Linked DNA regions of Anolis sagrei. The protein of the gene in region 1 interacts with the protein of each later gene in a pairwise test. Links are inferred from orthologs where the notes say so. Each region holds a gene or a part of one and is shown in the gene's direction. Other genes may lie near its edges. The genes, in order: DVL3, CSNK1D, WT1 and tumor necrosis factor alpha-induced protein 8-like protein 1.

Region 1 (6,919 bases):
TACAACTCGCAAACTCAAGGTCTATGCCCACCAAACCTTTCCAGTATTTTCTGTTGGTCATGGGAGTTCTGTGTGCCAAGTTTGGTTTAATTCCATCATTGATAGAGTTCAGAATGCTCTTTGATTGTAGGTGAACTATAAATCCCAGTAACTACAACTCCCAAACGTCAAGGTCTATTTTCCCCAAACAACACCAGTGTTGACATTTGGGCATAGTGAGTATTTGTGCCAAATTTGGTCCAGGCCCATCATTGTTTGAGTCCAAAGTGCTCTCTGGATGTAGGTGAACTACAACTCCCAAACTCAAGGTCAATGCCCACCAAACCTTTCCAGTATTTTCTGTTGGTCATGGGAGTTCTGTGTGCCAAGTTTGGTTCGTTTCTATCATTGGTGGAATTCAGAATGCTCTTTGATAGCAGGTGAATTATAAATCCCAGCAACTACAACTCCCAAGTGAAAAATCATAATGTTTTGAGTGATGGTCACTCCTTGTGTAGTGAGATGTTTTGTTGCCAAATTTGGTGTGATTTCGTTCATTGGTTCTTTTGTTTTTAAGCTACTCATTATGCACAGAGCATTTATATATATATAGATTTACTTTTTAATCAATTTGTATGTTGGCCTCCTTCCCCCTCCAAAATTTGGGTTGCTGTTGCTTGATGCTTGTTTATTACTGTTATGCTGTTTTGTGTCATTTTAATTTGTAACTTGTTGTTGCTTTGCTTTTAATTGTATGTTGCCTGGGCTTGGCCCCATGTGAGCCGCCTGAGTCCCCTTGGGGAGATGGAGGCGGGGTAGAAAAATAAAGTTCTTCTTCATCATCTGTTGGAACTAGGAAAATTGGGTTTATATCTCTGTGGAATGACCAGGGTGGGACAAAGGACTCTTGTCTGTTGGAGCTAGGTGTGAACGTTTCAACTGACCACCTTGATTAGCATTTGATGGCCTGGCAGTTGTTCGGCGTGGCTTGTTACTGCTTGGTGTATACCATGGAGCTGTGGACAAGTTACATAGGGACCACCAAACGCAGCAGCATTGCCCAGACACGACTCAAGGAACATGAAAGGCACTGCAGACTACTTCAACCAGAGAAGTCAGCCATAGCAGAGCACCTGATGAACCAACCTGGACACAGCATAATATTTGAGAACACAGAAATGCTGGACCACTCTCACAACCACCATGTCAGACTACACAGAGAAGCTATTGAAATCCACAAGCATGTGGACAATTTCAACAGAAAGGAGGAGACCATGAAAATGAACAAAATCTGGCTACCAGTATTAAAAAAAAGCCTCTAAAATTACAACAGCAAAACAACAGAGAGGAAACAATCAGGGACAGCTAATCACCTCTCAACAAAAGATTGCTCCAGGCACTAACAAGCCACACCAAACAACTGCCAGGCCATCAAATGCTAATCAAGGTGGCCAGTTGAAACATTCACACCTAGCTCCAACAGACAAGAGTTCTTTGTCCCACAGATATACAAACCCATTTTCCTAGTTCCAACAGACCTTACTGCCTCTGAGGATGCTTGCCATAGATGCAGGCGAAACGTCAGGAGAGAATGCCTCTAGAACATGGCTCTATAGCCTGAAAAAAATCTACAACAACCTATTGTTGTTGTATTGTCCTGGGCCCGGTCCTGTTCAACATCTTTATTAATGACTTGGATGAAGGGCTAGAAGGCATGATCATCAAGTTTGCAGACAACACCAAATTGGGAGGGATAGCCAATAGTCCAGAGGACAGAAGCAGGATTCAAAACGATCTTGACAGATTAGAGAGATGGGCCAAAACTAACGTAATGAAGTTCAACAGGGACAAATGCAAGAGACTCCACTTAGGCAGGAAAAACGAAATGCAAAGATACAGAATGGGGGACGAGGCCTGGCTCGAGAGCAGTACGTGTGAAAAAGATCTTGGAGTCCTCGTGGACAACAAGTTAAACATGAGCCAACAATGTGATGTGGCGGCAAAAAAAGCCAATGGGATTTTGGCCTGCATCAAGAGGAGCATAGTGTCTAGATCTAGGGAAGTCATGCTCCCCATGCTCTATTCCGCTTTGGTTAGACCACACCTGGAATATTGTGTCCAATTCTGGGCACCACAATTGAAGGGAGATATTGACAAGCTGGAATGTGTCCTGAGGAGGGCAACTAAAATGATCAAGGGTCTGGAGAACAAGCCCTATGAGGAGCGGCTTAAGGAGCTGGGCATCTTTAGCCTGAAGAAGAGAAGGCTGAGAGGAGACATGATAGCCATGTATAAATATGTGAGAGGAAGCCACAGGGAGGAGGGAGCAAGCTTGTTTTCTGCTTCCTTGGAGACTAGGACGCGGAACAATGGCTTCAAACTACAAGAGAGGAGATTCCATCTGAACATGAGGAAGAACTTCCTGACTGGGAGAGCCGTTCAGCAGTGGAACTCTCTGTTCTGGAATGTGGTGGGGGCTTCTTCTTTGGAGGCTTTCAAGCAGAGGCTGGGTGGCCATCTGTCAGGGGTGATTTGAATGTAATATTCCTGCTTCTTGGCAAAATGGGGTTGGACTGGATGGCCCATGAGGTCTCTTCCAACTCTAGGATTCTACACTGAACATGAGGAAGAACTTCCTGACTGTGAGAGCTGTTCAACAGTGGAACTCTCTGTTCTGGAGTGTGGTGGGGGCTTCTTCTTTGGAAGCTTTTAAACAGAGGCTGGATGGCCATCTGTCAGGGGTGATTTGAATGCAATATTCCTGCTTCCTGGCAGAATGGGGTTGGACTGGATGGCCCATGAGGTCTCTTCCAACTCTAGGATTCTACAGGAAAGGAGATTCCACCTAAATATGAGGAAGAACTTCCTGACTGGGAGAGGTGTTCAGCAGTGGAACTCTCTGCCCTGGAGTGTGGCGGAGGCTCCTTCTTTGGAGCCTTTCAAGCAGAGGTTGTCATAAGGGAGAGGGAGAAGCCTGGGCCCAAAGGATACGAAAGGATCTTCCCCCTGAACATGAGGAAGAACTTCCTGCCTGGGAGAGCTGTTCAGCAGTGGAACTCTCTGCCCTGGAGTGTGGTGGAGGCTCCTTCTTTGGAGGCTTTGAAATAGAGGCTGGATGGCCATCTGTCGAGGTTGTCATAAGGATGAGGGAGAAGGATACGAAATGATCTTCCCCCTGAACATTAGGTAGAAGTTCCTGACTGGGAGAGCTGTTCAGCAGTGGAACTCTCTGCCATGGAGTGTGGTGGAGCCTCCTTTGGAGGCTTTGAAGCAGAGCCTGGATGAGGGAGAAGCCTGGGCTCAAAGGATACGAAAGGATCTTCCACCTGAACATGAGGAAGAACTTCCTGACTGGGAGAGCTGTTCAGCAGTGGAACTCTCTGCACTGGAGTGTGGTGGAGCCTCCTTTGGAGGCTTTGAAGCAGAGCCTGGATGAGGGAGAAGCCTGGGCTCAAAGGGTACGAAAGGATCTTCCACTTGAACATGAGGAAGAACTTGACTGGGAGAGCTGTTCAGCAGTGGAACTCTCTGCCATGGAGTGTGGTGGAGCCTCCTTTGGAGGCTTTGAAGCAGAGCCTGGATGAGGGAGAAGCCTGGGCTCAAAGGATACGATGGGATCTTCCACCTGAACATGAGGAAGAACTTCCTGACTGGGAGAGCTGTTCAGCAGTGGAACTCTCTGCCATGGAGTGTGGTAGAGCCTCCTTTGGAGGCTTTGAAGCCGAGCCTGGATGAGGGAGAAGCCTGGGCTCAAAGGATACGAAAGGATCTTCCACTTGAACATGAGGAAGAACTTGACTGGGAGAGCTGTTCAGCAGTGGAACTCTCTGCCTCGGAGTGTTGTGGAAAGCGCCTTCCTTGGAGCAACACCCACTCTGAGGAGGCCGGAAGCGGAAGGGGCGGAGCCGCGCGAGGTGGGGGCGGGGCTTGTGTTGCTTGTGCTGCTGCTTGTGCTGCTGCTGCTTTTTGGGCCTGCAGGCGCTGCCGGAGCCCCGGGCTGGCGTGAGCGAGCCCCCCGAGGGAGAGAGCAGCCATGGCGGCGCCTCCAGCCGCAGCAGCAGTAGGAGCCTCCTCCTCCTCGTCAGCGATGGCGGAGACGAAGATCATCTACCACCTGGACGAGCAGGAGACGCCGTACCTGGTGAAGGTGGCCATCCCGGCCGAGCGGGTCACGCTGGGAGACTTCAAGGCCCTCCTCAACCGGCCCAGCTACAAGTTCTACTTCAAGTCCATGGACGACGACTTCGGGTGAGGCGCCCAGGCAGGCCCGCTTCCTCCTCCTGTCCATTGGCTTTTGTGTTGTGTCTGTCTGTCTCCCGCAAGGAGATAATCTGGGTTATATGGCAGTGTAGACGGAGATGTCCTCCCTCAAGAGGACAATGGACCTACGCCAAAGAAATAGTAGAATGTAATACTATATATTATATATATATGTAATATAATATAAAAAGAATATAATGTAATATGATAAATTGTATACACATATAATAGAATGTAATATAATATATTTTATGTACATAATGTAATATAAAAAGAATATAATAATATTATTGATGTAATAAATTGTATATACATATAATATGATATAAAAAGAATATAATATAATATATTGTATACACATAATATAATATAATGTGATATAAATGGTATATACATATAATATAATGTAATATAATATATTGTATATACATATATATAATATAAAAAGAATATAATGTAATATAATATATTGTATACACATAATAGAATATAATATATGTTGTATATACGTATAATATAATATAAAAATAATATAATGTGATATAATAAATTGTATATACATATAATATAAAGTAATATAATGTAATATCATATATTGAATATACATATAATATAATATAAAAAGAATATAATGTAATATAATATATTGTATACACATAATAGAATATAATATATGTTGTATATACATATAATATAATATAAAAATAATATAATGTGATATAATAAATTGTATATACATATAATATAAAGTAATATAATGTAATATATATTGAATATACATATAATATAATATAAAAATAATGTAATGTAATGTAATATATTGTATACACATAATATAATATAATATATATTGTATATACATGTAATATAATATAAAAATAATATCATGTGATTTAATAAATTGTATATACATATAATATAATATAAAATAATATAATGTAATATAATACATTGTATATACATATAATATAACATAAAATAATATAATGTAGTATAATATATTGTATATACATATAATATAATATATTGTATGTACATAATATAATATAAAAAGAATATAATGTAACAAAAAATATAATAATAAAATAAATATAATAAATTGTATATACATATAATATAATATAAAGTAATATAATGTAATATAATAAATGGTATATACATATAATATAATATAAAGTAATATAATGTATTATAATATATTGTATCTACATATAATATAATATAAAATAATATAATGTAATGTATTATATTGTATATACATATAATATAATATGTAATATTATTTTTATTGTATACACATATACAATAAAATATACATATACATGTATTGTATACACATATAATGTAATATAATAAATTGTATATACATATAATATAATATATTGTATGTACATATAATATAATATAAAAATAATATAATGTAATATAATATATTGTTTACACATATCATATAATGTAATATCATATATTGTATATGCATATAAACCAATGTAATATAATATATTGTATATACATATAATATAATATATTGTAGATACATATAATTAACATAATTCAAAAACCACTGGACGAATTGACACGAAATTTGGATACAATACATCTAACAGTCCAACGAGTGTCCATCACCCCTAAAAATACACACACACACACTCACACACAAAATCCCAGCAGAACAGACTTAAAACCCCCCAAAATACTCAATATATACATATACACATACACTCATATACATACACATATGCACACATTCATATACACACACGTATATATATGCACAAACACACACAAATATACACATATACACACATACATATACATACGCATACACACAATTATGCTTATAGACAAGCACACACATATACACAATGTGCATGTACACATATAAACACACAAATACACAAATATATACAGACACATATACACACACACATATATATATGAATATACATATATATATATGAACACATAAATATACACATAAACACATATAAATATATACAGACATATACACACACACACACACACACATATATATATATATGAATATACTTATATATATGAACACACAAATACACACACACACACATAAACACATATATACACACACAAAACACATATACACAGACTGGGCCACAGCAACGTGTAGCAGGGGATGGCTAGTTCTACTACTAATAATGATATTATAATTATATATTTCATATGACATGTAATATTACAATATAATGGTATAGTACAGTATATAATACTGATATTCAACTATGCTAATAATATATTGTATGTATATATATCTTGTAAGCCACTCTGTGTCCCCTTCGGGGTGAGAAGGGCGACATATAAATGTCATAAATAAATAAAGGCCTAAACCAGGCATGGGCAAACTTGGGCCCTCCAGGTATTTTGGACTTCAACTCCCACAATTCCTAGCAGTCTCAGACCCCTGAGGGGGGGGGGGAATGAAAGGGCCTGTGCCTGCTAGGAAATGTGGGAGTTGAAGTCCAAAACATCTGGAGGGCCCAAGTTTGCCCATGCCTGGCATAAACATTGCCCATGCCTGACCTCCATTGACTGCAGGAGGAAATAAATAATAATAAGAAACTTTATTTATATCCCACCATCATCTCCCCGAAGGGACTTCGGGGCGGCTAACATGAGGCCAAGCCCAAACAAATTACAATAAAGC
Region 2 (8,018 bases), on another chromosome or scaffold:
CACAACGAATACTGAGAAGTGGTTTTGCAAGTTTTTTACTCTGAAATCTAGCCTAAAGCACCTGTCTATCTGGTTGGTTTAGCATCTATTCACACCTCTCAGCTGATCACAGTGAAAACTGGAATCAGCTTCAAACCAGAATTCATTCTAGGACTGTTGGATAATCAAATAAAAAAGGAATGTTAGAAAATAGTGCAGTACACGTTAACAGTAACAAATCCTACATCATCAACAATGGAAAAAGAAAGAAACAGATTGGACAGTGAAAATTTGGGAATAGAAATTGATAAGTTAACCATTTTGTTGAAGGGGAAATCACTGGACACATTCTTAGAAAAATGTTTCTATTAATATGTATCTGAGGGAATGTTTTGTATTAATATATATGAGGGAAATTGAAAGACAGTTTTTGAGATAGTCAGCAACCTGCTGGATATAAGGTAGAAGAAGAAAAAGTTAAATTATAGGGAAACTGGTAAAGGGGAAGCAGGAAATCCTTTTAAAAAACTAATTCATGTATATTCTTTTGAAGATTCCATTGATTGTAAAACACACACCCACAGTTCTAACACACCTGTTTTTAGAGATATTTATATATGGGAAAGTGAACCTTAGAATAGAAGAAAAAAGATTTGTTGGTGCTTTAATTACATGTAATTAGAGTAGATGTATGTCAGTGTGAAAATTGTGTAGCTGGTATTTAATTGTTCTTTACGTTTTAAAATATATATAAACATTGTTACTTTTATTTGTGTTTCTTCGGTTAAATTTTGCATTTTAGAAAAATGGGGGAAAAGGAGAAATTTACCTAAGATCTTGCTAGCTCTCATGTTGGTCTTTGGAAAGACCTCTTAGTCTGAATCTTCACAAACCATATAATGCAGCTTGAAGCTAGCTCAAGGTCATGGTGTCCACAAAGCATACATCCCCAGTATGCATTAAGCCAGAAACAGTGTATTCAAATGCAGTATACATTAAGCCAGAAACAGTGTGTTCAAAAACACCAGAAAGTTCAAAACAAGCCAAAAATCCACTGCAGCCAATCAGAGTATATTCCATGCAGACCTCCAATCTGGGACTGGAAAATGAAGAATGCTTGCTAGGACACCTGGTGATGACGTGCTTTAAAAATGCAGAAATAGCTGGAAGGTAAATAAGAAAAGACATCATTCCCATGGGAAAATTCACTTCCCACACCTCTGTTCCGATTTCCTGTTTCCTGCCTCTGTCTAGCAGTGATCCCGAAAGGACATGGTGATGCATCTCAGTGAACTGGGTAAGAAAGAAAACATTCTTGGGTTCAATTGCAAACTGCAAAAAGCGGATGCTGTGGCCACCTCATTGAACCATTCCTGGGGTGTTTGTGTAAGCAAGAATGCACAGTGAAAGAGGTCCATTTAAATCCACCTCCAAACAGGATGATGATGATGATGATTAACAACTTTCTTTGTACACAGCCACCATCTCTCAGAGGGAATCTAGGTGGCTCACAAAGCACTCAAAGGTGCAACCACACAAAATACAGAAAGTGTAAACAACCATAAGTGAACAACCAACATAAACATCATAACTTCACAATACCCCCTGGTTAAAACCAAAATACAGTGATAGCTGCAGGTAAAAACAACTGTAGTCAGTTTCAGTCTTGTAAAGTGCTTGATAAAAAAATCTATAGGTCATATATATAGATTATAGTGTCTCTATAGTGTTAGAAGAAGCCTTAATTTTAGGGCTACAAAAGTAATAGGGTATATTTACTTTTATTATATGTTTTGTTATGGATTGCTGAGAGTATGGATATTTTATTTTGTTCTACTTAATTTTCTTTAAGTTATATTTTTTCAGTTACAAAAAAATTAAAAAGACTGTCAGCCCTTGATGAGGGGAAATAGAGACGCCTAGTGTTCTACATGTGGGTTTTTCATTTCTAATTATTCTAAAAGAAATTCAACAATTAAGTTGAAGCTCATCTTTCTTTCATTCAAGCTGTGAACAACAGAATCCTAAGTTTGAAGGGACGGCAATGGCCACCTAGTCCAGCCATGTTTCATAGAGGGTTTACTGCAAATGTTCCCTTGAGAGATGGGCCTTAATCTTGTTTAATATAATGACGAAGTAGGTCATGTTAGAGTAAGGTACCTTGACTAGGTGCTGTTCCATTAGCCGGGTGTAGGCCGCCAGGGGGCGCTAGCTGAAGCAGTAAAACCATCCCCCCCCCCCCCCCCCCCCCCGTTTCCTGTTATGAAATGGGAAGGGGGAATAATCAACAAAAACTAAGGAAATGGCTTTCCTCTTTCAAACCCCCCACCCCCAACATGGACTATCCTCTCTCTCTCTAGCACACCCTGGTGGCTTTTGCCTGTGTCAGAAGCGACTTGAAAAAAATGCAAGTCGCTTTTGGTATGAGAGAACTGGCCATCTGCAAGGACGTTGCCCAGGGGACGCCCAGATGTTTAATATTATACCCTGCTTATAGGAGGCTTCTCTCATGTCCCTGCATGGAGCTCTGGAGCTGACAGAGGGAGCTGAAACTGTTACACTGAGTCCCCTGAGGGGTGAGAAGAGCGGGATGGAAATGAAGTAAAGAAATAAATGTTTCACAGAGCTCTGGACATTGCTGTTTCTTTAAGGTGCTGGGAGTTTCAATGCAGCACAGGCTTAGAGGCCTTCACCTCGCCAATGCACTGTATTGCTTAGGCCAGGCATGTAGCCGGGGGGGGGGGGGGGCTCGGGGGCTTCAGCCCTTCCCCCCGAAATTTTCATGGTGGTTCGCGAAAAGGCCTTATTGGTGCATTATTTAAACTGTTATGTTTATTCATATCATGATCTGATCACCATACTCAATATATCCCATATGCATGGGGGTATTGGGGTAATGATACAAAAGTTTGCTAGGCTAGACCCTCTTTCACTCAGACTCAGCCCCCCCCCGAAACTCAGCCCCCCCCCGAAACCCCCCCTGAAAAAAAATCAGCCCCTCCCCCCCCCCCCCCCCCCCCCGAAACGAAATCCTGGCTACGGGCCTGGCTTAGGCTATTTTTCTTCAGGGGAGGGATAGTCATCAGCTTGAAATGATTACATGCCTTGTTGTTGTTCATTCGTTCAGTCGTCTCCGACTCTTCGTGACCTCATGGACCAGCCCACGCCAGAGCTCCCTGTCGGCCGTTACCACCCCCAGCTCCCTCAAGGTCAGTCCAGTCACTTCAAGGATGCCATCCATCCATCTTGCCCTTGGTCGGCCCCTCTTCCTTTTGCCTTCCACTTTCCCCAGCATAATTGTCTTCTCTAGGCTTTCCTGTCTCCTCATGATGTGGCCAAAGTACTTCAACTTTGTCTCTAGTATCTTTCCCTCCAGTGAGCAGTCAGGCTTTATTTCCTGGAGGATGGACTGGTTGGATCTTCTCGCAGTCCAAGGCACTCTCAGCACTTTCCTCCAACACCACAGCTCAAAAGCATCGATCTTCCTTCGCTCAGCCTTCCCTAAGGTCCAGCTCTCACATCCGTAGGTGACTACAGGGAATACCATGGCTTCGACTAGGCGGATCTTTGTTGCCAGTCTGATGTCTCTACTCTTCACTATTTTATCGAGACTGGACATTGCTCTCCTCCCAAGAAGTAAGCGTCTTCTGATTTCCTGGCCACAGTCTGCATCTGCAGTAATCTTTGCACCTAGAAATACAAAGTCTGTCACAGCCTCCACGGTTTCTCCCTCTATTTTCCAGTTGTCAATCATTCTTGTTGCCATAATCTTGGTTTTTTTGACGTTTAGCTGCAACCCAGCTTTTGCACTTTCTTCTTTCACCTTGATTAGAAGGCTCCTCAGCTCCTCCTCGCTTTCGGCCATCAGGGTGGTGTCATCTGCATATCTGAGGTTGTTAATGTTTCTTCCAGCAATTTTCACCCCAGCTTTGCATTCATCCAGCCCCGCACATCGCATGATGTGTTCTGCATACAAGTTAAAAAGGTTGGGTGAGAGGATGCAGCCTTGCCGTACGCCTTTCCCAATCTTGAACCAGTCTGTTGTTCCGTGGTCAGTTCTGACTGTTGCTACTTGGTCCTTGTACAGATTCCTCAGGAGAGAGACAAGGTGACTTGGTATCCCCATACCACCAAGAACTTGCCACAATTTATTATGATCCACACAGTCAAAGGCTTTAGAATAGTCAATGAAGCAGAAGTAGATGTTTTTCTGAAACTCCCTGCCTTTCTCCATTATCCAGCGGATATTGGCAATGTGGTCTCTCGTTCCTCTGCCTTTTCTAAACCCAGCTTGAACATCTGGCAACTCTCGCTCCATGTATTGCTGGAGTCTTCCTTGCAGGATCTTGAGCATTACCTTACTGGCATGAGAAATAAGGGCCACTGTACGGAAGTTGGAGCAGTCCTTCGCATTTCCCTTTTTTGGTATGGGGATATAAGTTGATTTTTTCCAGTCTGATGGCCATTCTTGTGTTTTCCATATTTGCTGGCAAATGGCATGCATCACCTTGACAGCATCATCTTTTAAGATTTTAAACAGTTCAGCTGGGATCCCGTCGTCTCCTGCTGCCTTGTTGTTAGCAATGCTTCTTAAGGCCCATTCAACCTCACTCCTCAGGATGTCTGGTTCTAATTCATTCACCACACCATCATAACTATCCTCAATATTATTATCCTAGCTTTGATCTATCCACTGAAGAGATTGTGATACCTTCATAGTGAGGCATGTGCCTTAATTTTACAATGTCATTCGCCTCCTCTGCCCAATAGTGCTGGCGCCTCACCAAACGACAGCTCCCAAGATTCCCTAGAACTGAGCCATGGGGGTTAAAGCGGTGCCAAACTGCATTAATTCTTGAGTGTGGCGGGCGCCCTTTTCGGCGAGGGCTATAGCAGGGGCTCGCCGCGGCCTCGGCGGTTGCCTGGGCGACGGCCCTGGCTCCGGCTCCCGGCCTCACAATCTGCAAGCCCCGCCCCGTTCCCGCCCCTCGAGCCGCCTTCCCTCCCGGGGAGGCGCAGGCCCCGCCCTCAGTTGTCAAGGAAGTGAGGTCACACAACATGGCGGCGGCTCGGCCCCAGCTGCGTTGAGCGGGAGGGGGGATCCGGGTCTCGGGGAATCGGCCTCCATCCTCCCCAGCCGGGGCGCGCGGCCGCCCCCAGACCCCTCCGCCGCCGGGAGACGGGCCCCGGGCCGCCATGCTCGCCGTCCTGGCCTCGCTCTGAGCCGGGCTCCGTCCTCGCCGCTGGGTTGGGTCCACTCGAGCCGCGCCGATGGAGTTGAGAGTCGGGAACCGGTACCGGCTCGGCCGGAAGATCGGGAGCGGTTCTTTCGGGGATATTTACCTCGGTGAGGAAGAGGAGGAAGCGGGCGGTGGAGGGGAGGGCTGGCCGGGGTCCGGCGGGGCCTGCTCGGCCTCAAAGAACCGCCGCAACCCGGCAAGGGCTGCCTGTCGCCTCACCTCGGGCTTCTCAGGCCTTGTTTACGGAGGGTGCGCCTACATTGTCGAATAAATGCAGGTTGACAGCACTTCAGCTGCCATGTCTCAGTGCTGTGGAATCCTGGGAGCGGTAGTTTTCCAAGGCCTTACGCTTCCTCTGCTCAGTAGCCCTGGGGCCTCCTCAAACGGCCCCTCCCTGGATTCCGTAGCTGCTCCCCTTTGCAGTCAGTGGTGCCGGCCACCAGTCTTCCGTGTAGGCCTCACCCTTTCCCGAGACTTCCTCAGGGCAGAGCCCCTCGCCCTCCCCGCTTCCTCCTTCAAGAGAAACTTCCTTGGTGACCTTGGGCCGCCGGCCGCCCTCTTCTCAGCCGGCCTCCCTTGGCTGGAGCAGGAAAAATCAAGCCCGTCCTCCTTCCAAAGCATGGACTGGACCCAAGAGTTTTGACTTCAAAGCCTGGTCTTGGCCAGGACCGCAGGCCTTGACTATTGCTTCAACCGGGGCTGTAAAAGCCTCCAGGAAGTAGCTCGCTTTTACAAAAAAAATTGCCCAATGCTGTGTTTTGTGATTGCAAAATCGCTCATTTTGTGGCTTGGGGTGCTTTCTGCCTTTTTGGTTTTTAACCTGGACTTCCGGTAAATGGGATGGTGGGCCCTTCCACATCCATATAACTCAGAATATCAAGGCAGGTAATTCCATAATATCTGGGTTATCTGAGGGCCCTTCCACACAGCCTTATATCCCAGAATATCAAGGCAGAAAAACCCACATTATCAGAGTGTAGACTCAGATAACCCAGTTCAAAGCAGAATTGTGGGATTTTCTGCATTAATATTCTGAGATATAGGACTGTGTGGAAGGGCCTTGAGTCCACACAGCCATATATTCCAGTTCAAAGCAGAAAATGAGGGATTTATTTATTCAGCTGTGTGGAAGGAGCATTTTGTTCCTTTCTGAGGTGTAAAATTCTGGTTATTTGCAACCCAGTCCCCTAGTTTTGATGACAGCATAATTGTGAATCTAAGCCAGAGGCCTGCTGACTTACTTCTTTGGTGATGAATCTTTAATAAACCCCCAGGGATGTGGGTTTTCGCTTGCATTCTGCATATGGTAAGCTAGCCTAGGTGTCTCCTTTCAAAGTGGTAGGCTCTATGCAAAGGTAAGCCAGGAAAAAAAATCTGATGGTCTGTCAATTAGTTCAAGGTTCAGTCCCACGAAGGATTAGGCCTATGCATTGCAGTATACATTTGAGTAGCTTTAATGGGATTGCTGACTTTGCGTATTGTTGTACAAAGGGAACAGCCAATCCAAGTCTGAGCTCCTATGTTTAAAAATAAATGTGAATATCGAAAGCAGCAAATCCATATTGCCAAGGCTGCTATTTCTTTGTATACAAAAGGTTACTTCCTTACCTGATCTAGTGCTTCCTTGCCTGATCTAGTGCTTTTCTGACAGAATAACATTAAATATCTTATAGTGTTTTGTTCTTACCTATCTTTTAGGAAAGGGTGTGAAATGTCAACATTTCTGTTGAAATAAATGCTTTATGTCTTTGATCAGATCTTTATTCAGAAAACTTTGGAAGTGCAGTCTTCTGAAATCCTTCTTGGATGTTGTCTTTGCTTCCTCCTTGTAAATAATAAACTTTAAGGGATTTCTTTTGCTTGCATACTACACAAAATTATACATACAAGGGTGTGAACCCATCAGGACAAAAGATTATCATTTGGTTGCAGCTTCCCCTTTAATTAAAAGTGTTGTGCAGGTTGGAAAAACTTTGTTAAAAGTCAGAGAAGGCTTTTATTAATCTTGTCCCTAATAAAATGTTATATCTGCTTGTGGCAGCGACCCATTAGATTTTTTAAATTTTTGAGAAAGATGTGCAAGAAAGGGCATAGATACCTTTATGATTATGATTCACACTAAAAATGGATCTTAGGTTATGTATATTTCTTAACCATCACATCTATTACTCTTGCCTTTGTTTTATTTACCAGGCTTGAGTTTCTTTTCGCTCTGATACTTAGGAAGGTTCAAAGGATAGTGTAAAACAGGACAGTGAAGATATTTAAATTATTCACCACTGTTGTCCCACCTGATGGGGGAAGAGAAGGATGATGACACTTTCCCAAATTCTTAATCCTAGAACTTTGATTCCCTTGTAATACAGAGAAGACTTCAGAACCTTGACACACGAAATTGTCAGATCCTTTGGCATAGTCTTGTTTTGGTAGCTGCCCAGGGAAGAATATCCTTGTATACTAAAAACATTTCCAGTCAGATATTTTCTTAAACTTTCTGAGTGTTGTAACTTTCGCCATCCTTTCTTCCTCATGTCCGCATTTTAGAATTAAGTTGAATTTAGGAGATATTTCCATTTACTGAAATTAAGACATTAAGATCCCTTACTCATGTGGTGTCATTTCCTGCTTCTTTGAGAAGTTTGCATTATTATTAACAGTAAAAGGTATTACTCCTATTTATGAGGCAAGAATCACAGGTTATTAATTAGTTGATATTGTATATAGGGATTCATTTCAAATAAGAGTTTCTGTAGGTAGTTTGAAATAAGAAGATGGAATTCCTGCAATGCAAAACTTTTG
Region 3 (7,000 bases), on another chromosome or scaffold:
TCTGCTAAGGATCTTGTAAAAATGTGCTGTCGAAGGCTTTCATGGCTGGAATCACTGGTTTCTGTAAGTTTTCCGGGCTGTATGTCCATGTTCTAGAAGCATTCTCTCCTGACATTTCGCCTGCACCTGTGGCAGACATCCTCAGATCTTGTGAGGTTTGTTGAAAACTAGGCTGGATTTTCCACGGATATATAAACTCCACTTGCCTAGTTTTCAACAGACCTCTCAACCTCTAATGATGTCTGCCATAGATGCAGGCGAAACGTCAGGAGAGAATGCTTCTGGAACATAGTCATACAGCCCTGGAAAATTCACAGCAATCCTGATCGTGTAAAACTACAACTCCCAGGATTCCATAGCATCCAGGCATGGCAGTTAAAGTGGTGTCCAAATGCATTCATACAACAGTGGAAATGCACCCAGGGTCTGTTTGCCACAACGGTTTACTCTGAGGAAAGTTTCATAACTATGATTTTTTTAAAAGGGATGGATGTGGCCCAGATGTTTGTTTTTTTTTTTGTTTTTTTTTTGCTAGATCGGGAAATCTGGAGCAGAAAAATACACATGTCAGAAGAAAATTAAATAATTTTTATCGCGTCGGAAGGGACTTGGGAAACTAGAAGTCGCTTCTGGTGTGAAATAATTAGCCCTCTGCAGGGACGTTGACCAGGGAACGCCCGGATGTTTTACCATCTTGTGGGAAGCTTCTCTCATGTCCCTGCATGAGAAGCTGGAACTGACAGACAGGAACTCACCCCGCTCCCCGGATTCGAACAGCCGACCCCGACCTTTAGTTCAGCAGTTCTGCTGGCACAAAGGTTTACCCTCTATGTGGGTGAGAAACAAATAAGCAGGAGCTGGCATAAATACATCTCAATGAGCTCTAGATAGGAGGTAATCTCATTTACTGGACACTTTCCTTCCTTCCTTCCTTCCTTCCTTCCTTCCTCCCTCTTTTTAAAATTTCTTCCTTCAGATAACTCAAGTACAGCCAACCTAAAATGAATGTTGGTTCAGGCACGTTTAAATAATTGAATTCAACCCCTTTCCCCATTGTCCGGCATTTGAGCCTCTCCTTTCCATCGAGGAATTTGCAGTAAACTGTTGTCTACATTTGAACCACCCCACCTAAAGGCTCTCTCTGCCCACTATTTCCCAGTTTCTTGTATTTACTACTCATCACACTAGAGAGTGAATCCACTTTAAATCGGTTTCTGTTCCTGCAAAATTCTGGGTTTTGTTGTTTAGTGAGGCTGTTAAAGGCCTCCCTAAACTACAAACCCAGAATTCTGCTAGAGGCAGAAACCAGATTTAAAGCAGATTCATTCTCTAGTGCGATGAGGCCATAGAAGCGTTCTTGCAACCTTGGGCTCATCACGTTAGAACTGAGGCAGTTTGGCTTCATTTGAACTGCCATGGGGCTCAATGCTATGGGGCCACGGGGAGTTGAAAAGTTAATGGCCATGTTCTAGAAGCATTCTCTCCTGACATTTCGCCTGCATCTGTGGCAAGCATCCTCAGAGGTTGTGAGGTTCTTGGGCTATAACAGCCCGAAAAACCTACAACAACCCAGTGATTCTGGCCATGAAAGCCTTCGACAATACATTGAACTGCGTTAACTCTACAATGTAGATGCATTCCCTAGAGCGGGGCTTACAATGTTTAGAGCCTTTGAGTTCTTATCCTCCAAAAAAGTATTTGACTTTCTCAAATAACGTCTTCTATGGTTTAAAATTCCGAATGGTAGGCAATATCACACATGTAAAACCACGAATTCAATACTTTTGCACTCAGACGTTGCAGAGACTTCCTTGGCAAGATTTGTTCAGAAGGGCCGAGAGAGTGTGACTTGCCCAAGGCCACTCGGTGGGTTTCCAAAGTTGAAGACGTTAACCCAGACCTCCCAGAGTCCTCATTCAGATCCGCGCCAAATCTCAGCCCGCCCTTTTTTTTCTTGTTAGGAGCGACTTGAGAAACTGCAAGTCGCTTCTGGTGTGTGAGAATTGGCCGTCTGCAAGGACATTGCCCAGGGGACGCCCGGATGTTTTACCATCCTTGTGGGAAGCTTCTCTCATGTCCCCGCATGGGGAGCTGGAGCTGACAGAGGGAGCTCATCCGTGCTCTCCACAGATTCGAACCTCTGACCTGTCAGTCTTCAGTCCTGTCAGCACAAGAGTTGAACCCATTGCTCCGGAAGTGGCTTGAATCCCGATTGTTATTTTCCATCCCCTGAAAGTTATAGTTGTTTGGTGAAGAACACTAAGGAAAATCCCTCCAATTCAACGCTGTTCAAAGCATTCTACGAGGCTCTTGTTGCCACGGGTGGACGGAATGGGGAAAAGGCTCCCTGGCATTCGTAAAAAGGGACTTTCCCCACTGCGGGCTCTGGGCGAAATTAATTGAAGCTCAATCCTTTGAGCAACATATGAGTCCCACCAGCTCCTAAAATACTTATTCCGCAGTTTATAGAGATGGGATCCACATTGGCAGAACAGTGAAGCGCTTCACTGAAAGCGGGGTCTTCTTATTTTTTACTTTGAAAGGATGGGATTTGGGAAGAGGCCCCAGTGCCTACCCCTCTGAGGTAGAAGGTAAAAAGAACGGAGTCTTAATGTATGCAGCTCAGGTTGGACGCGGACAATCCAATTTGATGAAGCAATCTTGATCAGTACGACTGTCCGGATTTCCACCTGTGGTTGGACATGCAAAGTAGCCTTGGGTGCCTTCCCAAGAGGCATTTCCCCCGTCTACAAGATTTAACTCACCCTCCACCGAGGAAACCCCATTCCCACACTCCTGTCCTCCCTTTCCTACACTAAACCTTCGGAGTCCATGGCCCCGTCTACAAAGCCAGATCAATACCAGATTATCGGCGTGTACTGGAATATATGGCAGTATGACTAATACCATCCAGTGCAAAGCGGATGATCTGGATTTTCTCTGGCAGTGTACTAGGGTTGAATGAAAAGTAATGCCTCCAACCTTCGTAACTCCTCAACAGATGGCAGTACTGGAATGCGTCAGGTACTGGCTCGTTCAGTAGACTCTCCCCTACAGTTCCATTTTGGCGGGAAGCCTTAGCATTGAACGGTTGTGTTGTTAAAGTGCAAAGTATGGAACCTGCGCCAAGGTCTGTCAATACGACTTAAGTAGTCATTGAATTATTGACAGCACAAGGTGTCACCCCAAAGAAGATTAATCAGAGAATGCAAGCTGTTTATGGTGATTGTGTTGATGTGAGTACTGTGCGTCATTAGGCGAGTAAGTTTAAAGATGTTGAGGTGACACTTTCTGCTGTCAAGACTGCACGTTGCTTAAGTCACATTTACCGACCATAACAATCAACACTAAGGCTTCCTGCCAAAATGGAACTGTATAGGAGAGTCTACTGAACAAGCCAGTACCTGCCGCATACAAGTACTGCCATCTGTTGAGGAGTTACGAAGGCGGAGGCATTACTTTTCATTCATTCAGCCCTCTTAGATGGGTTATTTATCCTCCCCCTCAGCAGCCTCCGAAGCCTGAGATCAGACATCATCAAACTGCGGCCCTCCACCTCTTTGGGCCTCCAACTCCCAAAAACCCTAACGAGTTTGTTCAGTGGTCAGGAATTCTGGGAGCTGAAGGCCCAAACAGCTGGAGGGCCGCAGTTTGAGGATGCCTGCCTGAGACTGTCTCTTCTCAGCAGGCGAGGCAGTGGCAGCCTTAGCCTAGGCTTCGTTTGGGAATCCCACCCCAATTCCGAAGGGGAATTCCGAGCGGGAGAGACGTGTGTGTGTGTGGGGGGGGGGGGGGGGAATCGGTGGATTTGGAGAGTGCTGCGTCCCGTGTTGAACACCCTCGGCTTCCTGAGTCCCCGGGAGAGAAAGTGGCGCGGGGAGAGCGTGGTGTCCCGTGGCCGGGTTGCGGCCCTTGAGCTGGAGGGGAGGCCGTGTCACCGCCCACGCGCGTAGGAGGGGGGAGGGGGGAAGAGAGCGTGCCTGGGCCTGGCTCCTCCCCCGCCTCACTTGGCGGAGTTTTGGGGACTCGGAGGGCAAAGCCGGCGCGGCGAGGAGAAGCCACTCTCCTGCTGCCTCCCGAGCACGGAGCTTCCCTGCCTCCCTCCCTGCCTGCCTTGCTTGCTTCCTTCCTTCCTTCGGGGCCCAAAGGGCGACCCTGGAGGCCAACCTCGCCCTGGCGCTGGCAGGGCTGGACCCGGGGGCTGGGCTGCCCGTCCCGAAGGGGCTCCCGAGCAGCGCCGCCACCTCCTCCTCCTCTTCCTCAACTTGGTGCCTCCCTCCGGAGCCCCTCAGCGCCTGGGGCAAGCCTTCCTCCTCTTCCTCCTCCTGCGGCGGAGAGTGGTTCCCTGCGCGGCGCAAAGCGGGCTCGGCGGAGGCCATGGGTTCCGACGTGCGCGACCTCAACGCGCTTTTGCCTCCTCCCCCGGGCAACGGGGGCTGCCCCATGCCGGCGCAGTGGGGCCCCGTGCTGGACTTCCCCTCGGGCGCCGCTTACGGCTCGCTGGCCGGCCCCCCTCCGCCGCCCCATCCTCCGCCGCCCCCCTCAGCCTTCATCAAGCAGGAGCCCAGCTGGAGCGCCTCGGACCCCCACGAGGAGCAGTGCCTCAGCGCCTTCACCGTCCACTTCTCGGGACAGTTCACGGGCACAGCCGGCGCCTGTCGCTATGGGGCTTACGGGGCGCCCCCGCCCCCTCCGCCGCCGCCGCCGCCCCCGCCCTCCAGCCAGGCGCCCCCCGCCCAGGCGCGCCTCTTCCCCCAGGGCCCCTACCTGCCCAGCTGCCTCGAGGGACAACAGGCCCTCCGCAACCAAGGTAAGTGGGGCTAAAATCCTATCTGATCTTGGAAGCTCAGCAGGGCCGACCTTGGTTGGTAGTTGGATGGGTAGCCACTGAGTTGTGAACAAGATAGGTTCAGTAGCAGGCATGAGCAAGCTGGTGCCTTCCAGGAGTTTTGGACTTCAACTCCCACCATTCCTCACAGCCTCAGGCCCTTTCCTTTTCGCTTATGCGGCTGAGGGGGAAAGGGCCTGAGGCTTTTAGGAATGGTGGGAGTTGAAGTCCAAAATACCAGGAGCGCCCAAGTTTGCCCATGCCTGTTCTATAAGCTTGTTCTTAACTTGGATTTGTATATAAGTCGGAACAGGAACAGTTTTTAAGCGTAACTCCAGCCAAATATATATGTTTTGCTCTCTGTGCCTCTGTTCACCAGAGTTCACTGCACTTTCTGTCCCTATGACAACTGGGTTTTTTGGAGGGGGAAATGGCTTGTTGACTGCTCCGTGCAGTTATGCTGGCCACATGACCTTGGAGGTGTCTACGGACAATGCCTCTCTTCACTTCACTTTCTGTCCCTGTGACAATTGGGTTTTGCAAAAAATGGCTTGTTGTGGAAACAAGGATTGGTGAGAAAGCTTCAGCAGGGAATTTCCCTTCCTCTACCACTTCATCACACCAGAGAAAAAAATCAATTTATAATCCGGTTCCTGCCTCCTGCAGAATTCTGGGGTTTGTAGTTTAGGGAGGCTGTTAAAGGCCCCTCCCTAAACTACAAACTCCAGAATTCTACAGGAGGCAGAAACCGGATTTTAAGTGGATTTCTTCTCTAGATTTCTCATCACACTCGAGAAAAAAAAATCAGTCGCCTTCTCAACTCTGAGTAGTTTGTAAGTCGGGTGTTTGTAACTGTAGGCTGTATTTCAGGGAAATCCTCGGGGTCGCCATAAATGGGCAGGCAACTGGTAGGCACACACGCCCGGCAGGATCCATGAAGCCAATGGGTTGCGTCAGCTTTGGCATAATAAGTGGTCTTATTATCCATTCACTCCAACTGGGAGGAGGGATGGGATTTTGCCCAGATCCTCTCTGATTTTGGAAGCTAAGCAGGGGCGGCCCTGGTTAATACTTAGAGGGGAGATCGCCAATTAAAACCAGGCGAGAATAATAATAAAACTTTATTTATACCCTGCCCCATCTCCCAACAAGGGACTCGGAGCGGAGAAGGCACTAACAAATCCATCTGTGACATGTCTTTTGAAATTCATGGAATCACCATCCTCCCAAATCTGCTAAAGACTATCAGTAGTAGAAAAGGAGAGGTGGAGAGGCGACTTAAAGGTGCATCCTCAAACGCAGATTATTATTATTATTATCATCATCATTATTTATCTCCCCCAAGGGGACTCAAAGCGGCTTAACAGCGGATGAGCTCCCTCTGTCAGCTCCAGCTCCCCATGTGGGGACACGGGAGAAGCCTCCCACAAAGATGGTAAAACATCAAAACATCTGGGCATCCCCTGGGTAGTCCTTGCAGACAGCCATTTCTCTCATACCAGAAGTCATTTGCAGTTTCTCAAGTAGCTCCTGACCCCGGGGGGGGGGGGGGGGATTAAACAGAAGCGGAAGAATGGTTTCAAACTACAGGAAAGGAGAGTCCCCTGAATATGAGGAAGAACCCCGGGAGTGTCGTGGAGGCTCCTTCTTTGGAGGCTTTGAAACAGAGGCTGGATGGCCATCTGTCGGGGTGTTTTGAATGCGATTTTCCTGCTTCTTGCCAAGGGGTTGGACTGGATGGCCCATGAGGTCTCTTCCAATTCTAGGATTCTATGTTTCTAGTTTGAACCCAGAGGTTACATTTCGGTCTTCATTTAATTGGGAGGAGCGAGTGGATTCAGCCCCCAGTGTTTATGGGTACCCCCCATGCCCCACCAATTAAAAATAAATTTAAAAATACTAGTTGTGTAGCTTCGAGGGACAGGCACAAGTGAGAAGGTTTCCACCCCTCAATGAGGATCCTCCAGTACCACATTTCTAGCATCATAGAAACACCAGGGCGGGTTGGGGTGAGCTCCCGCCTGTCAGCTCCAGCTTCCCATACGGGACATGAAAGAAGCCTCCCACAGAATGGTAAAGCATCCGGTTGTGCTCTGAGCAACTTATTTGCAGACGGCCAATTTTCTCACGCTAGAAGCGTCTTGCAGTTTCTCAAAGTCGTGTCAATAAAAG
Region 4 (8,017 bases), on another chromosome or scaffold:
AGAGGAGGGCCCAAGGGGCTGCTCCATCCTCTATAGCAGTGTTTCTCAGCCTTCCTAGTGCCACGACCCCTTAATCCAGTTCCTCATGTTGTGGTGACCCCCAACGATAACATTATTTATCCTTCCTTGTCCTCCCTCCCTCCCTTTCTTCCATCCTTCCTTTCCTTTCCCCTCTCCCTCCATTCTCTTCCTTCCCTCCCTTTCATCCTCCCTTCCCATTCTCCTTCCTCCCTTTCCTTTTGTCATGCCTTCTCCCCCTCCATTCTATTCCACCCTTCCTTCTCTTTTTCCTTCTTACTGGGGGATGTTTAGCTGGGAGAAGACAGTAGAGAGGGAACATGAGAACCATGTTTTAGGATTTCAAACAGAGTCCCATTGAGGTGGAGGGGGAAAACTCACTTTCTGATGCTCAAGACCGGGGCACAAAGAAGCAATGGGTTCAAATGGCAAGGAAAGAGATTTGACTGAAAAGATTAGGAAGAACTTCCTGAGAGTAAGAGCTGTTGGAGAGTGGCCTAGACTGCCTGGGAGTGTGGTGGAGTCTCCTTCTCTGGAGGCTTTTCCACAGAGGTTATTGGGAGTGCTTTGTGATTTCCTGCATCATGCATGGCAGGGAGTTTGGACTGGGTGGCCCTTGGGGGTCTCCTAGAATCATAGAGTTGGAAGAAACCTAATGGGCCATCCAGTCCAACCCCCTGCCAAGAAGCAGGAATATTGCATTCAAAGCACCCCTGACAGATGGCCATCCAGCCTCTGTTTAAAAGCTTCCAAAGAAGGAGCCTCCACCACACTCCGGGGCAGAGAGTTCAACTGCTGAACGGCTCTCACAGTCAGGAAGTTCTTCCTAATGTTCAGATGGAATCTCCTTTCTTGTAGTTTGAAGCCATTGTTCCGCATCCTAGTCTCCAGGGCAGCAGAAAACAAGCTTGCTCCCTCCTCCCTATGACTTCCTCTTACATTCATACATGGCTATCATATCTTCTCTCAGCCTTCTCTTCTTCAGGCTAAACATGCCCAGCTCTTTAAGCCGCTCCTCATAGGGCTTGTTCTCCAGACCCTTGATCATTTTAGTCACCCTCCTCTGGACACATTCCAGCTTGTCAATATCTCCCTTCAGTTGTGGTGCCCAGAATTGGACATAGTATTCCAGGTGTGGTCTAACCAAGGCAGAATAGAGAGGTAGCATGACTTCCCTAGATCTAGACACTATGCTCCTACTGATGCAGGCCAAAATCCCATTGGCTTTTTTGCCACTACAGGACATTGTTGGCTCATGTTTAACTTGTCCACGAGGACTCCCAAGATCTTTTTCACACGTACTGCTCTCGAGCCAGGCTTCCCCCATTCTGTATCTTTGCATTTCATTTTATCAGCTCTAGGATTCTGTATCAGAAGTAGGTATGGCAATCCAGGGTCTCCTGGATTCATTTTTTTCTCTCCTGTTCACCATCTCATCCTGATCAAGGCCAACCCTTTCAGCATCCATTACTAGTCTATAAGGATGCCACTCTTTTTTTCCAAACAGCCCTCCAATAGGCTTGGAGCGTTGCACCTTTTAGTTTGCACGCCGCTGTTTCCCGCCTTTTCTCCTCAAGCGCCGCTTCATCTTCTCTTAAGCTCCATCTCCAACGTCGCTCAGCTGATAAAGGGACTCCTAAAGGCCATCCAGTCTAACCCCTTCTGCCAGACACAATCCGATCCCTTCTGACAGATGCTCATCCAAGTTCTTGTTTATAGACTTACAGTGAATCCTAGATTAGAACGGGACTCCTAAAAGCCATCCAATCCAACCCCTTCTGCAAGACAAAGGAAGACACAATCCCATCCCTCCTGACAGGTGCTCATCCAACTTCTTGTTTATAGACTTCCACAGAATTCTAGATTAGAACGGGAATCCTGAAAGGCCATCCAATCCAACCCCCTTCAGCCAGAGAAGGAAGACACAATCCGATCCTTCCCGGCAGAGGGCCATCCAGCTTCTGTTTGGAGGCCGGGGAAGGCTATGGATGACTAATGTTTCCTCTTCATCCATGCCAAGCTTACAAAAGAAAGGAAACAGAAGCTAGAGGCGCAGGAAGCGGCCCACAAAAAGTGTCACAGGGAGAGGTCAAACCTGCCCTATATCGATCCAAGAAAAATCTGTTCCTGGCTTGAACTTGTTATTTCCTGTTTCCCGCAATAACAAAGTTTTGCCACTTTAATCAGCTTTCCGCATTTTTTTTAGTGTACAGCCAATTAGGAAATTGATAACCCAGGAACAATAGTGTAGTAGTAGTAGTAATAATAATAATAATAATAATAATAATAATAATAATAATGCAGTGCCTAAAGACCTTGGCCTGCACTTAAGCACAATCAGCGCTGACAAAATCACCATCTGTCAGCTGAAAAGGGCCACCCTACTGGGATCTGCATGCATTATTCGCCGATACATCACACAGTCCTAGACATTTGGGAAGTGTCCGATGTGTGATCCAATACAATGATCTTATTTACTGTGTACTAATCTTGTTGTGTTTCAACAGATCTGGACCAAACTTGGCACACAGACCCAACATGCTCAACTGTGAATTCAGGCGGACTTTGGGGATGATTGCCCTTGGAATCCAGAGATACTGTGACCCCCACCGACAATAGACCAGGACCAAACCTGGCACAGAGAAGACCCATGATGAACTGAACGTATTGAAGGGGTTTGTGAGAATTCACCTTGATTTTGGGAGTTAAAGTTCACCAGCATTCAGAGAAACAGTGACCCCCACCGACAATGTACTGGGACCACACTTGGCATAGAGAACCCATGTGACCAACTGAACAAACTGACCTTGATTTTGGGAGTTGTAGTTCACCTGCATCCAGAGAGCACTGAACTCAGCTGACGCTAGATCTGGGCCAAACTTGGCACACAGACCCAACATGGCCAGCTGTGCATACAAGCTTGGTTTGGGAAGGATTGACCCACAATTCTGGGAATGGTAGTTCACTCACATTCTTATGTATTTTCTAATGGGAACATTCATAAACAACGAAATCAAAGAATGGCTTTCCCCCCTAATAAATATTAGAATGCCAATAAATATAAATAAATAGTATTTATATCATATTTATATTTATATATAATGATATATTATTATATATAACATTATATATATGTATATAATAATAATAATAATAATAATAATAATAATAAACTTTATTTATATCCTGCCCTTTTCCCTCACAAAGAGACTCAAAGCGGCTTTCAACAGTGAAATGATAATGAAGATATATTGCCTTGTAAGGAATTTCCAAAAAAAACACAAAAAAACCCATTGGCATTTTTATTTTATTTTTTGCATATGATATTGCATATGATATTTGCATATGATATTGCTGTTAGCTAGAGGGAAACAGTTCTAGTTACGAATAGTTTGCATGGATTTTCCTTTAAAAGTGCCTTAAACTCGAGTGAATGGTAAAATATGTTATACTTACTTTGTACAAGTTGCCATCTACATACAGATCTAGACATGTTTCATTATTTCTGAACGTATATTTTCTGATTATATATGAGATTGTGTCAAATAATTAATTAAAAAGGGGAAAAAACAGTGAAATGCAGTATAAAATCAGCAGCAATCAAATACAAAACATAATAAGCAATTACTAAAGCAAACATAAATAAACATGTATCTCTATCTATCTAAACAGAATACAGAATGTCTATTGGAATTTTTATTTTATTTTTTTATTATTGTTTTATTATTATTTTGATGTCATTTTGATAATGTTGTTGTTGCCTGTTGTATATGTTTTGATTTTATGCTGTATTATGTTGTCTGGGCTTGGCCCCATGTAAGCCGCTCTGAGTCCCCACCGGGGAGATGGTGGTGGGGTAGAAATAAAGATTATTATTATTATTATTATTATTATTATTATTATTATTATTAAAATTAGAAAGGGTCCCCAAAGGTCATCCAGTCCAACCCACTCCCTGCAGGCAGGAAAAAGAGCAATCCAATCCTTCCCGACAGATGGACATCCACCTTTTCATAGAATCATAGAATCAAAGAGTTGGAAGAGACCTCATGGGCCATCCAGTCCAACCCCATTCTGCCAAGAAGCAGGAATATTGCATTCAAATCACCCCAGACAGATGGCCATCCAGCCCCTGTTTAAAAGCTTCCAAAGAAGGAGCCTCCACCACACTCTGGGGCAGAGAGTTCCACTGCTGAACGGCTCTCACAGTCAGGAAGTTCTTCCTCATGTTCAGATGGAATCTCCTTTCTTGTAGTCTGAAGCCATTGTTCCGCGTCCTAGTCTCCAGGGAAGCAGAAAACAAGCTTGCTCCCTCCTCCCTACGACTTCCTCTCACATGGCTATCATATCTCCTCTCAGGCTTCTCTTCTTCAGGCTAAACATGCCCAGCTCCTTAAGCCGCTCCTCATAGGGCTTCTTGATCATTTTAGTCGCCCTCCTCTGGACACATTCCAGCTTGTTAATATCTCTCTTCAATTGTGGTGCCCAGAATTGGACACAATATTCCAGGTGTGATCTATTTTTGTTGTGGATGTATCTCTATGCATTGCAGAGGGTTTTGCATCACGGTTGGAGGCTGAGAGAGTGTGACCCTTCTTTCCTCCCAACTCAAAGTCCAAATACAAACACGGGCTACAAATAAAGTTGTGTATTTATTTAGCATTTATTTATTTTATTTTTCTTATTTTATTTTCCTATTTTCTTATTTTTTCTTATTTTATTCATTTATTATCATTTATTTTCTCATTTATTTATTTATTTATTTATCTGAAGCTGAGAGTATGTGACTTGACGAAGGCTTGAGCCTGGATTCGAACCTGGGTCTCTTATGGTTACTGACTTTGCCTTGTTTTCCTTTGCCTCTCCGATTCCATCCCCAAACCCCGCCCCCTTTTGTTGCTGCATTTCCATTGGCCGCTTCGTAGGAGGCCCTGCTCCGCGATTGGCCCCCTCGGCTGTCATTCCATCCCCCCTCCCCTTTCTCTTTGAATTTGAAACTTTATCTCTCTCTCTTTCAGAGTCTTAAAAGCGTCAAGTTTCAACCTTGGATCCCAGGAGGGATTCCGATAGCAAAGCCCCCACGCCCCCCAAGGAAGAAAAGAAGGGATACAAAGCCATTGCTTTAAAGCTATACAATTTTTCATTTTGCAAGGAAAAGGCTCCGAATTTTGTATTTGCAAGAAAAAAAAAAGATTTAGGGGTTGAATATATATACTGCAAGGCCCCGATCTTTGGATGCAGAACATGCAGGTAAGAAAAGGAAGGAAAAAGGGATCCAGAGGGCAGAAAAGGATTGCACGGACTTGATCTCAGCGGGGAAAAATGTGCCGAGCTCATGCTTTTCTGCACTGAATTTTCTGCCCTTGTTTTAGTCGGAAGACGAGAAATGGGAGGACCTTCCAAAGAAAGGAGAAAATAATATAATGCTGTTATTTGCTATCGGAGCAGAAAACAATAGCCTCTTCCCCTCTGCTTCCTCCTTTCTTTTCCCATTCTGCATTCTTTCCTTCCTTTTCCCTCCTTTCATCTTTCTGTACTTTGCTTCTTTCCCTTCTTCCTTCTTGATTCTCTTCCCCTCCTCCCTTTCCTCTTCATCACTCTTCTTCTCTTTCCTCCCTTCTTCTCTTCCCTTCTCTTTTTCTTCTTCCTTTTTTCTTTCCCCCTTCTCCATTCTTTTCTTCCTTTTCCCGTTCATCTTTCTGTACTTTGCTTCTTTCCTTTCTTCCTTCTTCATCATTCTCTTCCTCTCTTTCCTCCTTCCCTCCTTCCTTTCTTTCACCCCTTTCATCTTTCTGTACTTTGCTTCTTCCCTTCTTCCTTGATTCTCTTCCCCTCCTACCTTTCCTCTTCATCACTCTTCTCCTCTTTCCTCCCTTCTTCTCTTCCCTTCCCTTCTTCTTTTCTTCCTCCTCCTTTCTTTCCCCCTTCTCCATTCTTTTCTTCCTTTTCCCGTTCATCTTCCTGTACTTTGCTTCTTTCCTTTCTTCCTTCTTTATCATTCTCTTCCTCTCTTTCCTCCTTCCCTCCTTCCTTCCCCCTTTTCATCTTTCTGTACTTTGCTTCTTTCCCTTCTTCCTTCTTGATTCTCTTCCCCTCCTCCCTTTCCTCTTCATCACTCTTCTTCTCTTTCCTTCCCCTCTTCTTTTCTTCTTCCTCCTTTCTTTCCCCCTTCTCCATTCTTTTCTTTCCCCCCGTTCATCTTTCTGTGCTTTACTTCTTTCCTTTCTTCCTTCTTTATCATTCTCTTCCTCTCTTTCCTCCTTCCCTTCTTCTTCTTTTCTTTCCCCTTCTTCATTCTTTTCTTCCCATTTCATCTTTCTGTACTTTGCTTCTTTCCCTTCTTCCTTCCTGATTCTCTTCCCCTCCTCCCTTTCCTCTTCATTGCTCTCTTCTTCTCTTTCCTCCCTTCTTCTTTTCTTATTCCTCCTTTCCTTCCCCTTCTCCATTCTTTTCTTCCTTTCCCCGTTCATCTTTCTGTACTTTGCTTCTTTCCCTTCTTCATCATTCTCTCCCTCTCTTTCCTCCTTCCCCCTTTTTCATCTTTCTGTACTTTGCTTCTTTCCCTCCTTCCTTCTTGATTCTCGTCCCCTCCTCCCTTTCCTCTTCATCACTCTTCTTTTCTTTCCTCCCTTATTCTCTTCCCTTCCCTTCCTCTTTTCTTCCTCCTCCTTTCTTTCCCCCTTCTCCATTCTTTTCTTCCTTTTCCCGTTCATCTTTCTGTACTTTGCTTCTGTCCTTTCTTCCTTCTTCATCATCATTCTCTTCCTCTCTTTCCTCCTTCCCTTCTTCTTCCTTTCTTTCCCCTTCTTCATTCTTTTCTTCCCTTTTCATCTTTCTGTACTTTGCTTCTTTCCCTTCTTCCTTCTTGATTCTCTTCCCCTCCTCCCTTTCCTCTTCATCACTCTTCTTCTCTTTCCTCCTTTCTTCTCTTCCTTTTCCCGTTCACCTTTCTGTACTTTGTTTCTTTCCCTTCTTGCTTCTTCATCATTCTCTTCTTCTCTTTCCTCCTTCCCTTCTTCTTCCTTTTGTTCTTCCTTTCTTCTTGCTTCTCCTCCTTTCTTTCCCCCTTCTTCATTCATTTCTTCCTTTTCACTCCTTCTTTCTGAGCTTTGCTTCTTTCCCTTCTTCCTTCTTGAGATTCTCTTCCTCTCCTCCCTTTCCTCTTCTTCATCATTCTCTTCCTCTTTCCTTCTTCCTTTCCTTTTGCTTCCTCCTCCTTTCTGGTTCTTCATTCTTTTCCTCCTTTTTCCGTTCATCTGTCTGTAGTTTGCTTCTTTCCCTCTTCTTTTCCCCTCCTCCCTTCCCTCTTCATCATTTTTTCCTCTTTCCTCCTTCTCTTCTTCCTTTATTTTTCCTCCTTTCTTTTCCCTTCTTCATTCTTTTCTTCCTTTCTCCGTTCATCTTTCTATACTTCGCTTCTTTCCCTTCTATTTCTAGTTTCTCTTCCCCTCCTCCCTTTCCTCTTCATTGTTCTTTTCCTCTTTCCTCCTTCTCTTCATCTCTTCCTACTTCATTTCCACTCCTTGACTTTGCTCTTTCTTCTTCCTTCTCTTCTTCTGTCCATCTCTTCTTCTTCATTTCCTTTCTCCTTTCCTCCTTTCTCACTCTTTCTGTTCTTCTTATTCTTGCTCTTTCCCTTCTTTTCCCTTCTATTCTTTTCTTCCTCTGATTTCCTTCTTTTCCCCTTCTTCCACTGCCAAGCTTGTATGTAACTCATTGTACTTGTTATTAATATTAACTTCCACAGTATATTATTATTATTATTATTATTATTATTATCATCATCATCATCATCATCATAATCTTTGTCATCATCAGGTAGTCTCTGATATTATTATTATTATTATTATTATTATTATTATTATTATATCATTTCTTGTAAAGGCAGAATCAAGTAAGCAAGGTAAAAATAAAGAAAATTATAATAAAGAATAAGTGGTACAGTGAATAATAATAATAATAATAATAATAATAATAATATTTCAAGCCTATTTATTTA

The links.
Region 2: the proteins of DVL3 (region 1) and CSNK1D interact in binary tests that used the Homo sapiens proteins (3 or more experiments, as listed by UniProt). The two-hybrid records come from large-scale screens. The link is inferred for Anolis sagrei from reciprocal best matches to the Homo sapiens genes DVL3 and CSNK1D.
Region 3: the proteins of DVL3 (region 1) and WT1 interact in binary tests that used the Homo sapiens proteins (3 or more experiments, as listed by UniProt). The link is inferred for Anolis sagrei from reciprocal best matches to the Homo sapiens genes DVL3 and WT1.
Region 4: the proteins of DVL3 (region 1) and tumor necrosis factor alpha-induced protein 8-like protein 1 interact in binary tests that used the Homo sapiens proteins (3 or more experiments, as listed by UniProt). The two-hybrid records come from large-scale screens. The link is inferred for Anolis sagrei from reciprocal best matches to the Homo sapiens genes DVL3 and TNFAIP8L1.

The regions. Positions count from the first base shown.
Region 1 is NC_090023.1:264,637,248-264,644,166, reverse strand, and holds the start of DVL3 (segment polarity protein dishevelled homolog DVL-3), read left to right. Parts: upstream 1-3,901; 5' UTR 3,902-4,012; coding exon 4,013-4,227; intron 4,228-6,919. UniProt on the Homo sapiens protein: Involved in the signal transduction pathway mediated by multiple Wnt genes.
Region 2 is NC_090022.1:114,330,505-114,338,522, reverse strand, and holds the start of CSNK1D (casein kinase I), read left to right. Parts: upstream 1-5,010; 5' UTR 5,011-5,250; coding exon 5,251-5,326; intron 5,327-8,018. UniProt on the Homo sapiens protein: Essential serine/threonine-protein kinase that regulates diverse cellular growth and survival processes including Wnt signaling, DNA repair and circadian rhythms. It can phosphorylate a large number of proteins.
Region 3 is NC_090021.1:257,607,601-257,614,600, forward strand, and holds the start of WT1 (Wilms tumor protein), read left to right. Parts: upstream 1-3,981; 5' UTR 3,982-4,377; coding exon 4,378-4,810; intron 4,811-7,000. UniProt on the Homo sapiens protein: Transcription factor that plays an important role in cellular development and cell survival. Recognizes and binds to the DNA sequence 5'-GCG(T/G)GGGCG-3'. Regulates the expression of numerous target genes, including EPO.
Region 4 is NC_090034.1:49,776,808-49,784,824, forward strand, and holds the start of tumor necrosis factor alpha-induced protein 8-like protein 1, read left to right. Parts: upstream 1-5,002; 5' UTR 5,003-5,268; intron 5,269-8,017. UniProt on the Homo sapiens protein: Acts as a negative regulator of mTOR activity.